2 linked regions of the Alligator mississippiensis genome follow. The protein of the gene in region 1 interacts with the protein of each later gene in a pairwise test. Links are inferred from orthologs where the notes say so. Each region holds a gene or a part of one and is shown on either strand. Other genes may lie near its edges.

What was found. The genes of interacting proteins can lie anywhere in the genome.
Region 2: the proteins of MKRN2 (region 1) and RACK1 interact in binary tests that used the Homo sapiens proteins (3 or more experiments, as listed by UniProt). The two-hybrid records come from large-scale screens. The link is inferred for Alligator mississippiensis from reciprocal best matches to the Homo sapiens genes MKRN2 and RACK1.

What each region holds. Positions count from the first base shown.
Region 1 is NC_081835.1:30,776,187-30,783,440, reverse strand, and holds the start of MKRN2 (E3 ubiquitin-protein ligase makorin-2), read left to right. Parts: upstream 1-3,881; 5' UTR 3,882-3,976; coding exon 3,977-4,002; intron 4,003-4,111; coding exon 4,112-4,240; intron 4,241-4,611; exon of another isoform or gene 4,612-4,933; coding exon of another isoform or gene 4,934-4,944; intron 4,945-5,268; coding exon 5,269-5,447; intron 5,448-7,002; coding exon 7,003-7,254. Other genes in the region: MKRN2OS (MKRN2 opposite strand protein), read right to left, coding at 1,086-1,248, 2,579-2,628, 3,330-3,547. UniProt on the Homo sapiens protein: E3 ubiquitin ligase catalyzing the covalent attachment of ubiquitin moieties onto substrate proteins.
Region 2 is NC_081834.1:51,398,938-51,406,474, forward strand, and holds the start of RACK1 (small ribosomal subunit protein RACK1), read left to right. Parts: upstream 1-4,225; 5' UTR 4,226-4,335; coding exon 4,336-4,444; intron 4,445-5,952; coding exon 5,953-6,124; intron 6,125-7,121; coding exon 7,122-7,269; intron 7,270-7,537. UniProt on the Homo sapiens protein: Scaffolding protein involved in the recruitment, assembly and/or regulation of a variety of signaling molecules. Interacts with a wide variety of proteins and plays a role in many cellular processes.

The sequences.
Region 1 (7,254 bases):
AAAAATGTAAACACCTAACCCTCTTTCCTCCATTATTCTGTTTGACATCAAATTATTTTCTAGAAGTAAGGGTGGAAACTTAACAAGTTCCAAAGTTATTAAACATCAGTGGAAATTGTGCTCCTCAGGCAGGCACTTTCTGAGAATTCCATCATAAATCAAGTCCTTTTGGCTTCAGTCAAAACATGGGGAAAACTATGCATGTTGAAATACATGGCTATATCAGCCGGAAACAGTGATTCAAGTTGGGCTTAAAACTAACTCCCGTTCACTTCAGCACTCCACATGATTGGACCCAAGCAAGCCATTTCATAAATTCACTTTATACAAGGCATGTGTAAAGCACTGGTCTTCTCAGTGAGTTTGTTTATTAATAAACTTGGTGATGTGGTGGTGTATATTCCAGCCTGGCCACATCTCTTGTTATGTCTACATCTGACAGCCTCAATGGAAGCTAAAAAGAAATGACCCCACAATGATGACCATGCCAGATTTGCTCAAAATGTTTTAAGGCTTTCTGCATTTACCTGGCAGAAAAAAGTATGGCACTGCAAGCCAGCTGGAACTGGATACAAGTCACATTGAGCATTTTTTCCATTCCTCATCATTGACATGGAATAAATCATCAAGATGTATTCTGTATACAAAACTCTTAGATTTCAGCATGATCAGGATTTTAGCCTGTAGAGCCAGAAGTACCCAAGAGAAATGAATCCCACCAGCTGTAGATTTGCCTAAAATTGTGAAGAATCAGGGCTTCCACAGTTAACCACAGGTACCTCTAGAGCCCTGACTTAAGAGGATCTTATTGTTTCTGCACAAAAATTTTTCTGTTGTTGGAGCAACTGGCTCTAATATAAAGGCTCTGTGTTCCAGCAGGCATATCTATTACTTTGGCCACTCCCTCAAAACACATTACCATTTAACAAAGCTGTAGATTTTCAAGCTGCTAGTTGTCTGAAAGGACCTTACAAACTGTTGCTATGTGATTCAAGTATATGAAACCAGCGGTGAACCACAAACTTAGTACAATTCAATCCTGAATTAACTCTTTTCTGTTAAATTTATCTGCTGAACTTACATACCTGTGAGGAAGCCAGGCCTCTCCAGCAGAGAACTCTTCTAGGTACTTATCCCACTGTTGAAGCAGCCCATACATGCCTGGCTGTACTAGTGGGATACTAATGCATTGTTCCCACCCAAATTCAACTCTGTGAATGCCCGTTTCATTGTAATTGTATACGAGTCCTGGAAATACAAACAGCAACGTTATTAGCAAGAGCTGGAGAATTAGAAATAAAGTTACAGTTCTGCTAACAGGATGAAGCAGCTGCTTTCTATAATGGTACTCCTTGCTGCAATACAGCAGTTACCGAAGCCTGTAAAACTGTCCTCTCACTCCCTCCCCTACCAAAAACATCATATTCTGTCCCACAAGCAAAATTTATTTAAAAAAAAAAAAAACACAACTCCCACAGAACATGCTGAATAGTTTTTAATTTCAAAATAAACAATCCACTGTCATACCTGCAACACAAGTGTTGCCCCATTCTGTTAGTGCAAAATAATTCAGTGAAAATGGGTTGGAAAGTAAAACTGATAATCTACTTTCATTGAGAAAAATGCAAAAGATGAACACCACATTAAATTCCATTTTTAAAATTCTATCAGATATCAAAAAGGCTGTTATAATCTGACAACGTCCTGTTAAGGAAAATGTATTTAAAGTGGCAGTACAAATAACTGTAAAGCAAACATTTTCTAGTATGTCTTTCAAAGGCTGCCTACCTTGTTAGCATTTTGTCCTGAGAATAGATAAATAGGGCTGGGTTTGGTTTCCAACATGAGTTCCATTTTATAGGAATCTTAAAAGTTTGGGATTATAATGATAGGTGGTTTTCTTTTGGGGCTCTCTGGTCAGTGCTGAGATGTTAAAACAGAATCCCACATTTAAACTGTCAACCTCAATTTCCTTTGACATTAGCAGAGCCCAGATTTTACTGTAGCTCTCTAGTAGTAGAGCCAACAGGTTTGGAGATGTTTTTCAACAGCAAATCTCACTCACCATGCATGTATCCAATTAGTGAATGCAACTGGCTGGCTCTGAAATGAGTGCTATTCAATCCTAACCCCTAAAGCACTGGTTCTTATCCCATTTTGTACCAGGACCCATTTGTAAACATCGATGGCCAGTCCCAACCCAGTGCCCCTCACTCCCAACCTGCTGCCCCATCCGCAGCGTGAGAGGTGGAGGGGCCCAAGCAGCCCCTTGCAGGCTGGAGCTCTGCCAGCCTGCAAGGGAAAAGCCATGGTTTCTCATGTTTTTCTCCTTTAAAGGGAGAATCCATTTTTGAAGTATGTGGATCCATTTTTAGAGTTTGTTCACAACCCTTTCATATATTCTTGTGACCCACTTTTGGGTCATGACCCACGGGTTGAGAAATACTGTTCTCAAGGAAGATCAGGAAGATAGGAGTGAAATCAAACTTGTATATATAGTTTAAATCCCAGAAATGTACTGGAGATACACAAAGATGTTGCATATTTAAGAAGAGATTAATTACAAAGCTCTTGTTACCATTAGTACTGGTTATTCCAACATGAAGATCAGATTTCCCATCATACTCTCTGAAAGAAAAATGGTATAAAGTTTTTACGACTGAAAATAGCTTCATGCAGGGGCTGCTTGGTCACGTTAAAAATACTCTGAAAGGTCTCCTTCCCTAATTGCTGGTACTTTTGACTCCAGCTGAGACTAGAATGTGAGGGAGCATGGATGCAGACATCATTACACACCTCATGAAATTTTTCATTTCCAGAAATGGCTGTTTAGATTTTGTACAAGTGTCATTTTCTGTTCACCCCAAACACCCCCCTACTGGACCACAACAACAGCACAGCAGGGCACAGGGCAACAGTAGAGGGAGACCACAAAGGGCTCGGAAGGACAGGTCACGCTCCATGGGGGCTCCAAAGATGAAAAATGAAGGCCCAGATTTCCCCTTACCACAAACCCACAGGATAAGAACTTCAATGAAAACTCAGCTTTTAACAGCAGTCCGTGCACACACACAGTATGGGCTCGCACTTCTCGTCCACTAAGGAGACAAACGGGCCAGGTACACAGGTCGCTACACACCCCGCACCCATTCTGTCAGATCAGGGGCTTAGTGCCCAAGCAACATTTCGCACCAACTGTTTTGCAGACGACAAAGTGCAGCAAGACCCGAACTGGGGACGGGGCAGGACACGCGCGCCTACCCCCGCGTCTGAGAAAGGCCCGGGGCCGGAGCCGGCGGGGAAGGCCGAGCGGCGGACGGCGGCCGTACCCCAGGAAGGCGCCGGCCGTGGGCCGCAGCAGGAAGGCGCAGAGCCGCGCGTGCCCGTTGACGAAGGGGCTGGGGACGCTGACGGGCGCCTGCTCCAGCCCGCGGTAGAGGAGGCGGCGGCCGCAGGCGGGGCAGCGCGCGGGCACACGCGGGCCGAAGATGAACTTCCCGCAGTGGCGGAACCGGACGACGCCGCCCGCCGGCTCCCACGGCTGCATGGCGCCAGCCGTCTCGCGCTGGGATCCGGCTCGCAGAGGGGGCGGGTGACGTCACACAGGCTGGCAGCCCATCCGGCCAATAGCTCCGGGAACGCGCGGTGACGAGCACTGGTGTTCGGGTGCCAGCGCCCCGCTGCAGGCCAGGCGAGAGCAGCTGCTTGCAGCTTGCGAGTCCCCTGGGTCGCACGCCCCGCCCCCACCAAGAGCGGCGCTCTGCCCCCGGCCGCTTTGTCTCGATGGCTCCCGCCCGCTCTCCCTGGCCCCGCCCCCCGCGCGGGGCGGCTCCGGTCCGGCGGGGAATAGGGTCCCCCCGCGCCCATTCCCGCCGCGGCACCGTTCCGCACAGCTCTGTCCCTCCCCCCGCGCGCGGCGGAACCGAGGGCTCGGGCTGGGGCTCGGGCGGGTCGGAGAGCAGGAGCGAGGCCGGCCATGAGCACCAAGCAGGTGACCTGCAGGTGAGGCCGCGCCGCGAGGGCCGCGCCGGGGCCGGGGGTTGTGCGAGGGGCTCCCGCGGCCCAGGCTGGGGGCGGCCGGCGTGTGACGGCGCCCGTTTCCCGCCCGCAGGTACTACGTGCATGGCGTGTGCCGCCAGGGCAGCCGCTGCCTGTTCTCCCACGACCTGTCCGCGAGCCGCGCAGCCGCCGTCTGCCGCTTCTACCAGAAGGGACAGTGCGCCTACGGCGCGCGCTGCAGGTGAGCGCCCGCGGGTCCCGGCCCGGCCCGGCCCGGCCCGGCGGAGCTGGGCGGGAGCAGTCAGCGAGGGCTGGGCCGAGCCGAGCTGTGTTCCGCGCTGCAGGGATTTCCGGCCTTGCCGCCTGCCCCCTTGTGCCCTTTCTGCGCCGGGGGGGGCTAAGCCTCCCTCAGAGGCGCTGGTGTTAGCTGCAGCCCAGGCTCTGGTTTTTGGCAGGGCTGTGCCAGTACTCCTGCTGGGACCAAAGCCGGGGGTTCCTGGCCTTGAGCGGAGGGACAAGACCTGCTAGCCAGAGTGATGCCATATTTGGGATCAGGAAGGAATTTTACCCTGTGGTCGGATTGGCCAGAGCTGTGGGGGCTTTTGCCTTCCTCTGTAGCAGGGGCGCAGCCTCTGCCCAGGGCCTCTTGAGTATATATTCACAGTATTTCATAGTTGCAGGATGTTGGCTGCCATCGTTCCCCTGCTTTACCTACACCAAATCAGGGTGTTAGGTGTGTTGTGTCAGGATTGAGGGTAGTTTTACATAGAGTTTAGATTACGGTTTGTATGGGATGGTTTGGATAGGAATGATCCTGCCTCAAGTGGGGGTTGAACTAGGTGCCTCTGGAGGTCCCTTCAAGCCCTGCTTTTCTATGATTTGATGACTTGCCGTCTTAACTAATATTGACAGAAGCAAAGAGGAACTGGAGCAAATGATACACAGGTACATCACTGGGGGAATGCAGCCCCCATCTCGTCTGAGCAGGTGCTATGAGACGGGACCTCGTACAGGATGTTGGCAGGATTTTCGGTTCCCCTGCCTTGGGAGGAATGGTTTCCCTGACTACTGTCTAGACTAGTGTGGGGGACTGTTGCTACACCTGCGCTTAAAGCTTCATTGGCAGAATGTATGGGCAGGGGGATATGAGAGCGATCCAGTCTGGACTGTCTATGTGGAGTCCAGTAGTTTCCCAAGCAATCCCAATTATGCCTTCAACCAGAGTTTAGTCCTTGTAGCACAAACTTTTACTTTGCTTTTTCTTTTTAGATATGATCATACCAGGCTTCCTGCTCCGAGTGGTACAGTGGGCATTGCACCACCCAGCCTCTCTTTACCAGTGCTCCACAGCCCAAACCCTCCATCAGAGCATAGCACACCTGTAATCAAGAGCAAAACATGTGAACCTGGCAAGCGTGAAAAGAAAACACTAGTGCTGAGGGACAGAAGTGAGTTGGAACAGTTACCATGCTTATTGCTGCTGGTAGTTTTATTACTTCCCTTCTTCTCCTTGTCTCTTCCATTTACAGATGCCCAAGCAGATGCAGTTACCTTTGTAACATAATTCTGCAAATGCTTACACCTGTTAACTTTTCCAGGGGAAAGCTTTCCTTCTGCTCCATGCATTCCCCCAAATGATTCTTCTGTGTCTCCATGTGGTCCTTTCTTGCCATCTTCCAAGAGCAGGGCATGAGCAGAGATTTGTGTAGTGAAGGGGGATTTGGGGTGGTGCCAGGGGATTAGCACTTGGAGGACTGACCCAGTATACTTGAGCACAAGTACTGGGGGAGTCCTGCATTGCCTAATGCTGTAGAATGGGGGTCAAGCTCCCGCTCTCAGCAGTCCTCTATTTCTACGTGCATACCCACCATGGTCTCCCCAGGTCCACCATAAATAAACCCTTTCCTTCTCAATATTGCTTTCACTATCCTTTGTGAGGCTGCAATGCTGGGTTATCTTCCTTCTTCCTCTCTCAGCCCTGTACAATTGCCCTACCCTATCAGTGCCCCAGGCCCCTTGCTGCTCTTGGCAGGGTCTCTGGGCTGAACCTTGATGGATGCTGAAGAAGCTGGGTGGCAGCTTTGGAACAGTGTGTGAGACCAGAACATGATCTGTCCGTCTCCTTTTCCTTTCAGCAATAAAACTCCAGTAACATTCCTTTTGGGAGTTCATGGTGAAAGAGTGACATAATGGCTGCTGACAGACATGGAAAAAAACCCAAAAAACCAGCACTTGACCAGAAGAAGAAGTGCGTTAGTTGAACTCAGCTCCCCAGTGTCTGTATAGACTGCACACTTCAGTGGGACTTTTTGGCACTTTTATCTAATTAATGGCTGATTTAATCAGATATTAGATAAAAGCACCAAAAAGCCCTGCTGAAGCACACAATCTACACAGACATTGGGCAAGCTGGGTCAAATTAATGCAATGTTTCTTCTGGGCATGTACTGCCAAGCTGGGGGGGGGGGGGGGGAGGGGGGTTTCCATGTCTTAAACAGTCAATCTGTATGTACTGCATTTGAGATGTTATGCAAAATCAGAAGTTTCTAGTAATACCAGGTCTTTTATTTACAAAATGTTATTCAGAGGAGAAATTTCCAAACAGTGTCAGGGAAATCTGTTTTGGAGCAATTCTTTGTGGTCACATGAATGCAGTTGGCTCCTGAATTGCCAAGAGAGGGAATTGTGGAGAACAAATTTATTCATTCATTCATTTAGTTGAGAACCAGGAGGATTTTAGCCTTGCTTCAAGTGCAAATATGAAAGCAGTTCAAAATGTGTATGTACCTGGTATTTTCAGGCTTTGCAGTATATAATTTTGATTGTAAAATGCTGCTGAGTTTAGGTATAGAAGGAGCTATATATGTGGATTCAGCTGGTGAGAGGGCCGTGGTTAAACAACCCTTTAGTTCATCAGGTAGCCTTTGTATTCAAGACAGGTTCCTTTGTGGCTTTTATGCTTTCATGATCATTCAATATATATTGTGCTTTTTTTCTTTTAAGATTTACGTAGTTTGAATGAAGAAAAGACGAGACTCAGTGCAGCAAGTGACCTGGCTTGTTGCAGTGACAGAACTGATGATCTGGAAATGAAGCCTCATTCATATCTAGAAGCTATTTGCACTGGGCTGGAAGATCCAATGCCTGGAAGTTCCTCTGCTGATGGACAGCAGCTGTGTCCCTATGCAGCTGCTGGGGCGTGCCAGTTCGGTGACCAGTGCCCTTACCTCCATGGAGAGGTGTGTGAGATCTGTG
Region 2 (7,537 bases), on another chromosome or scaffold:
GCCGTGCCAGGCTCTTCCCGGTGGAGGTTGGGTCAAGCTACTATTGGGGTAGGCAGCAGCAGCATTGGAAGCAGGGCTACGGGGGGGGCTGCAGCCACCCCAAAATTCACCATAGCCCCCTCCTGGTGCTGCTGCCACCCGCCCCAAGCGCAGCCTGGCTTAGCACCCCCTGCTTGGGAAAGCCCTCACAACAGACTTACCAGCTGGACCCGGCTGCTCTCCACACTGCTGGGCTTTGCTCCTGGCCGCCTGTGTGCTGCGCTGTGGCTGTGCGCATGCATGGGGCATTTATTGGTGGCATTATCGGTTACATCAGCCAAAAAAACCTGACTGCTGATACCATCAATTTTCCTTATATTGGTGCTGATCTTCTATGGGACCGATGTATTGGTATATCTCTAATTTTTTGCATAGCACTTCTGCTGCTCTTACAGCACGCTACTGTGCCATGGCACACCCTTTGGGGAATCTGAGAAGAGCAAAGTTTTAAAATTTAATTTAATTGAAAACTTCTTCACTGCTACCGAAGATACCCCTTCTATGCCTCTTTCCCCCCTATTTTGCCATAGAATAATAATAAAAAATGTTATTTTAAATGCAAAGTGCTGCACCTAGGGAGGAAAAATGTCCAGCACACCTACAGCCTAGGGAATGACCTGCTGGGTGGCACAGAGGTGGAAAGGGATCTTGGAGTCCTAGTGGACTCCAAGATGAACATGAGCCGGCAGTGTGACGAAGCCATCAGAAAAGCCAATGGCACTTTATCGTGCATCAGCAGATGCATGACGAATAGGTCCAGGGAGGTGATACTTCCCCTCTATAGGGCGCTGGTCAGACCGCAGTTGGAGTACTGCGTGCAATTCTGGGTGCCACACTTCAAGAAGGATGCGGATAACCTGGAGAGGGTCCAGAGAAGGGCAACTTGTATGGTCAAGGGCCTGCAGACCAAGCCCTACGAGGAGAGACTAGAGAAACTGGACCTTTTCAGCCTCCGCAAGAGAAGGTTGAGAGGCGACCTTGTGGCTGCCTTTAAGTTCATCATGGGGGCACAGAAGGGAATTGGTGAGTATTTATTCACCAAGGCGCCCCCGGGGGTTACAAGAAATAATGGCCACAAGCTAGCAGAGAGCAGATTTAGATTGGACATTAGGAAGAACTTCTTCACAGTTCGAGTGGCCAAGGTCTGGAACGGGCTCCCCTACCCTGGGGGTCTTCAAGAGGAGGTTAGATGAGCATCTAGCTGGGGTCATCTAGACCCAGCACTCTTTCCTGCTTATGCAGGGGGTCGGACTCGATGATCTATTGAGGTCCCTTCCGACCCTAACATCTATGAATCTATGAAATGAATAAAAAGTTTGTATTAGAATGAGTCCATATATATTCTTTGGTTTTCCTCTATCCACATGGAAAAGGAAGCGGGGTGGAGAGAAGAGAGAAAGATGGCAATTTAAAAAAAACTGTTGGTATCATTTAATTTGTGATGGCTAATAAAAAAAAAAAATGTTCTAGGTTGCATTACTGAAAAAACTTCAAAAAAACTTCAAATGAAATAAATCATTTTGTTGAAAATTTCTCATGAAAAAATATTATTTTTTTCAATTCTCAGAGATTTTTCTTGTGAAACATCAAATAGCAAAAATGAACTGGTTTACAATTTGCAGCTTGGCCTCTCTCTTGCATTTATGTCATCATTTTCCCCCTAAACTTGTGACTACCACACATCCCTACTGGATATTCTCCCAAAATTTTGTAGACATTGTGGATTAGAAAATGCAAGACAATTACCCCATGAAGAGTCCAATATTATGGGTCCAGCCTTTCAAGATTTGTGTCTACTCCTCTTATTCAGCAAATATTTAAGCGAATGTTTAATTCCCATTGAATTTCTAGCAAGTAAAAGATACCATTTTCTGTTTTGATTGATTCTGGATTTTTTTTTCTTTTAAACTTTCAAGGAAAAAGCTTGTTAGTAACAAAAATCAAAAAAGCTATGCTAATGGCATCTGGGCCTGGAGCAGTCTCTTCCTGCCTGAATTCTAAAAGTATGAAGTTATTTTAGTTAAAAATAACTCTTAGAACGCACTGAGAGTAAGATCAGGTCCAATGCATTTTTAATTAAGCACAACAGCGAAATAAATACGTAATACTTCAACATTATCAAACAGTCTGGTGTTACATTACTTGGAAGTCAATCTGAAATACATTTCAAGTGCAAACCTTTTCGAATACATATTGAATGCTGCGTTCACACAAAGAGTTAAACAAATTATCACAGAAATATTTAATCTGTCCAAAAAAAAATGGTTTCTACTGCAGATATGAAAAACGTTGTTTTAAATACCTGTGGCAGACGAATCCACCTACCTGACTGATCCTTTTGAACAGGTCTACAATTTTTAAGCTGTAGCTGGGAAGTCCAAAGCATACCTTTTGTCAAGATAATCATTTAACACGCATCGCTTTTCAGTCTATTAAGTTGCATGGATAATTCCAAGTGTAAAAGGGGCCAGGAGTGTGATTGTAGTCTTTCCTTAAAGTTTTTAAAGAATTCTCTTTTAATTCCAAACTGAGAAATGTGCTTTGATCTTGCAGCATTTATAGAAAGTGGAAGTAAGAGTAAAGGAGATATGTTAAGGTCCAAAGGGATCTGAACTAGTGGTAGAGGTGACATCTTTTATTAGACCAATTAGATTTTTGCAAAAAAAAGTTTCATTTGCAAGCTTTCAGGCACAGGGACCCTTCTTCAGGCATAGGAGAAAAGACTGTAAAAGTTCTCCGAGGTAGAAATGAAAGTTCATATTTCATAGGAGAGTTGAAGGTGTGGTAAAATCTCCTGTTTGGAACACACACCAACTGCTGAAACTTCCTTAGCCTCACGAAGGGTTTTTGAACCCGAAAGCTTGCTTAATAATTATTTTCCAACTATTTGGGTTGGTCTAATAAAAGATATCAGATTCACCCAAGGAACCTTGTCTGCTTATGTCCTTAGACCAGCACGGCTACAACCTACACCCCTGTCTGGAACAGTTCATTTTATGCAGCTTAGGGCCAGAAAAAAGTTGGACTAGTCTGTTTACCTCGAAGGTGTTTGGTGGCTAGCAGGACGTAGAGTTATATTTCCTTCTGGTTATGATATTCCATATTTCACAGAATAAAATGATGGGCTGCTCTTCTGGGCAGGAATTTCTCATGTGGCAAAGTATCTCCGGGCTCTGTGATAATGCAAATTACCTCAAACAAAGGCAGGAGCAGGGTCTCAGGTGGTAAAACGTACTTCCTTCTTGTAAAATTTCATTAAAAAAAAAAAAATCAGTGAAAATTAGGGTCCAAATTAATTTCAACTGTGACAAGCTTGAAGTTGTTCCTGGTCCTATATTAAAACAATTTTTTTTTTCAGAAATTACCAGTACTGGTATAAATTAAAATAATATAGATTTGTTGATCATTTGTGATAATCACAGAATCATATCAAAGTAGGGCTGGAAGGATGTCCAAAGGTCTAGTCCAGCCCTGCTTGAGGGGGAATCATCCCTATCCCAGCGAGCCAGCCCTTGTCTAGCCCAGCGGCGTCACACTCCCCTTCAGGGCAGAGGAGCAGCACAAGAACAGTGAAGGGGCGCGGGGTGGAGCCAGGGCTGGGCTGGGGGGGCGGGGCAGGGCGGGGCGGGGCGTGTCGTGTGTCCCCGGATTCGTGCACGAGGCGGGGTGCGCTGCATGCTGCGGGCTCAGGGCCAGGAGCGGTGCTGGCCTCTTCCCACAGGGGGCGCTGGGCCGGGGCTGCGCTCGGGCGGGGCTGGGGTGGACGGCGGCGGTGGGCTGTATGGGGGGGTTCCGACAATTTTAGGGTGGCTATAACTCACCCCTGCCCCCCCCACTCCCAGCGCTACAGACAGCTTCCGACCCCGACCATCACCTCGCTTCAGTTTTGAAAGCGGGCGTGAATTTAGTGTAATATCAGCGGCCACACGCGCCAGGCCCCGCCCCCCCGCTCTCATTGGCAAAGGCCGCTGTACGGAACCGCCACGTAGTGGTCGCCATGACAAACCCCAGCGCCTCCGCAAGGGCGCCGCCATCTTGGCTCCTGCTTGCGGAAGCCACCATGTTGGCTGGCGGGCGCCTCTCCTTCCCGCCTTCTGAGTGACGGCGGCCGGCGGCAGCCATCTTGCCGTACGGCGCGACGCGACGCGAAGCTTATTTCCGTTTCCGGCCGACGTCCCGACTTCCTTTCTCTCTGGGCCGCTGCCTGAGCGAGTGCAGGGTCCGGCCCGCGGCCGCCGCCGAATCCGCCGCCATCCTCCCTCCCCCGCGCGCTGAGCCCGCCGTGCCGCTGCCGCCATGACGGAGCAGATGACCCTGCGCGGCACCCTGAAGGGCCACAATGGCTGGGTGACGCAGATCGCCACCACCCCGCAGTTCCCGGACATGATCTTGTCCGCCTCGCGCGGTGAGAGCGGCGCCGGGGGTGGGGGCGGGGCAGACCAATGCACCCGCTTGGGGGGGGGGGCAACCTGCAGCGGGTGGCATAAAGGGCTGTGGCTGACACCATCGTGGTGGCAGCTGCGGGGGTGGGAAAGTCCACCTCGCTGCTTGGTTGGGGGCTAGGCAGAGACCAACCCTGCAGTGGGGGTGGGGAACCAGGCAGAGGGAGATACCATTTTGCTGGTGGGGGGAGGGTGGGATGTGCCATTGGGGATGCTGGGTCTGCAGCCACGTGGAGGGGTGGGATGGGGGATGGATCACTGAGGGGCCAGGACACAGGGCTGCACCATTTGCTTCAGCATTGTGCAAATGTGGCTGCAGCTGGAGGGGATTGGGGCCCTTAGGCCTGGGAGGGGTTGGGGCAGCAGAACCTGGTGCCCGAGACGAAGGGGCAGGTGTCCGGGAAGAGCCCCTGGGCAGGGGGCCGGGGAGGTGCGGACCTTGTTCAGGACAAGAAAGTGGAGCTCAGACTTCTGGTTTAATTCCCATCTCTCGTCTGTACCAGGCTGCAGGGCTGGGTGGGCTGCTGGGACTCAGTTTCCCTAGCTATGGGGTGGGGGGTGCTGTTTATTCGTCCAGGAGCTGGAGGTGGGGGGTATTGTGAGGGGAAGCCCCACTAAAAGGTGTTCAGGGGGTGCTACCTGTTGAGGCTCTCTGAGGGTTTTGGGAACTGAAGGTCTTTGCAGGATGGTGGGGCCTGTTAGGCTTTCAATCCCTGAGAGGGGGCAAATCCAGCAGAAAGTGGGGAGGGATCAAAAGGGAGCAGCTTTGGGACCTTCCTAGCCTAGGATCCCTTCCCTACCCTCAGGCTGTCGTGAGTTGGTGGTGCTCTGGGGGCTTGCACAAATTCCTTGTCTGGGGGTGGGGGGTGCTCTCTGCTTGCCCAGGATGAAGTTTCTCTGCTTGCCCAGAGGCCATCAATGCACTGAGGTTCATCCCTGCTAGTATCATGGAGCTGCACACCTCCCGATCCCAGTGATTAGACCTGACGCGTCTGCTGACCCTCTGGGGTCTGATGACAAGTCCTGCAATTATGATGGGATTCTGGGAAGGAGGGTGAGTGGGGCTCCCTGTCAGGGCACATTGTTCAGGAGAAGCCCATAGCTATAAAATAAAAGAGAGGGAATTTGGAGACCTAGTGCTTAGGTGAGCATTGGGGATAAGGGGTTTTGCCGTTTTATGCAGCCCTGTCTCAGAGGAGGGGACAGGTTGGTGCAATGGAAAGGATATTGGGAACCGGACGCATGTTGGTATAATCTAACTTGCCCACGTTTGATGAGACTGGTGATCGACTGTGCCATAGAGGTTGGGACTGGGTAAATGCCACGATTGATTCCAGGGGCTGTTCTCAGGATTGGTATGAAGGGGTTCAGTGGTTGCTGCCCAGTCCAGTCTAGGGGCAGTCTCCAGGCCCCGTGCTCTTTTGCTGTGGTAGGGAGACGCAGCTAATTCCTTTTTGCTTCTCCTGCACAGACAAGACCATCATCATGTGGAAGCTGACCAGGGATGAGACCAACTATGGGATCCCACAGCGTGCCCTGCGTGGCCACTCACACTTTGTCAGCGATGTGGTCATCTCCTCTGATGGGCAGTTTGCCCTCTCTGGCTCCTGGGATGGCACCTTGCGCCTCTGGGACCTTACCACGTGAGTGACAGGAAGAAGAACAGGGCAGGGTGGCTTCCTTGGCAGAAACAGAGTCTGCGGGGCAGAGAACATGGCGAAAGAACACAGTAGAACAGACAGGGAATAGGATACCCCTGGGGGTGATGCTGAGATTTTCCCCGCTTCTAACTTCCTTGGCCTGTTTGCTCTGCAGATCACAGCCCTCCTTCCCATCCCACTGCACTGATGCACTGTGGAGTAGTACTGGCTGCCCATTTTGAAGTCCACAGACCAGTTACAAAAAAGCAACCAGGGATATAGCAAGGGTTGGCAGTTTAAAGAGGGGAGATCCTTATCCCTGTGTGCCCCACATTTTCAATTCCAGGTCAAGCATTCTTTGTCCTGTGCACTTTTTAATCTTAAGACTTCAGAAATGTTTGGTTTCGGAGTACGGGTCACCAGCCTGAAACAGCTACTTCTAGGAAATGGCTAGCTCAGCTTTTAAGACTGCAGAAAGCTGGTAATCCAGATAGTTTTGTTCATTCCTTTTCCCTTCTAGTCCCAATGATTAAACCTGACACAAGTCTGCTGACTCTCTGGAGTCTGACGACATGTCCTGCAATTATGATGGGACAGGAAGGGAGATAGGGAGCTTTATGGTCTTTCCTGCTGGTCATGTCCTTTATTTTCCTTGTTCCACCTATTTTTTTGCATGATACACCTCCCATCCTCTTTTATCTACCTGGGCTGTCTCCTCTGCGGGTTCCTGGATTATGCTTCTGCTCTAACATTTCATTTAGTTTGCTTGTTAGGGTCTCCCCCCGCTCCCCTCACCCCACCCAACTCAGAACCTGGCTCATGCTTCTTGGTGACCTTCAACTCCATGAGCCCAACCTCCCCCCACCCCAGTCCTTTTACCACCATGCCTCTTCTGTTGCTCTTTGTGAAGTTTAGTAGGGATTTGGCAGGTGGATGTAGGAGGAGGTGTCCATAGTGACACCAAGAGTGACCCGAATGTTTTTCCTTTTGCCCCCTGCAGAGGTACCACAACCCGGCGATTTGTGGGCCATACCAAGGATGTCCTGAGCGTGGCCTTCTCATCTGACAACCGGCAGATTGTCTCGGGTTCCAGGGACAAGACTATCAAGCTCTGGAACACCCTGGGTGTCTGCAAGTACACAGTTCAGGTGAGGCTTGCAGAGGGTTGCCTGGTGGTTATGTCCTCCCAGTCAGGAAAATAAATTATGAGTCTTCTGCTCCGAACTGTTTCCTCAGATATGCTGGTTGTAGAAACCCACTTGACTGTCCCTTGAGGAATGAAATGGGACTCTGAGCTCTGGCTGGGCCAGCTAGCTCTGTGTGATCTAGGGCCTCTTTGTGAGGTGGGGATTCGTACAGACTGGGTGGAGAAGTTGTGCTCTCGGCACTGTCCAGTAGTCCCACTGAAATGAGCCA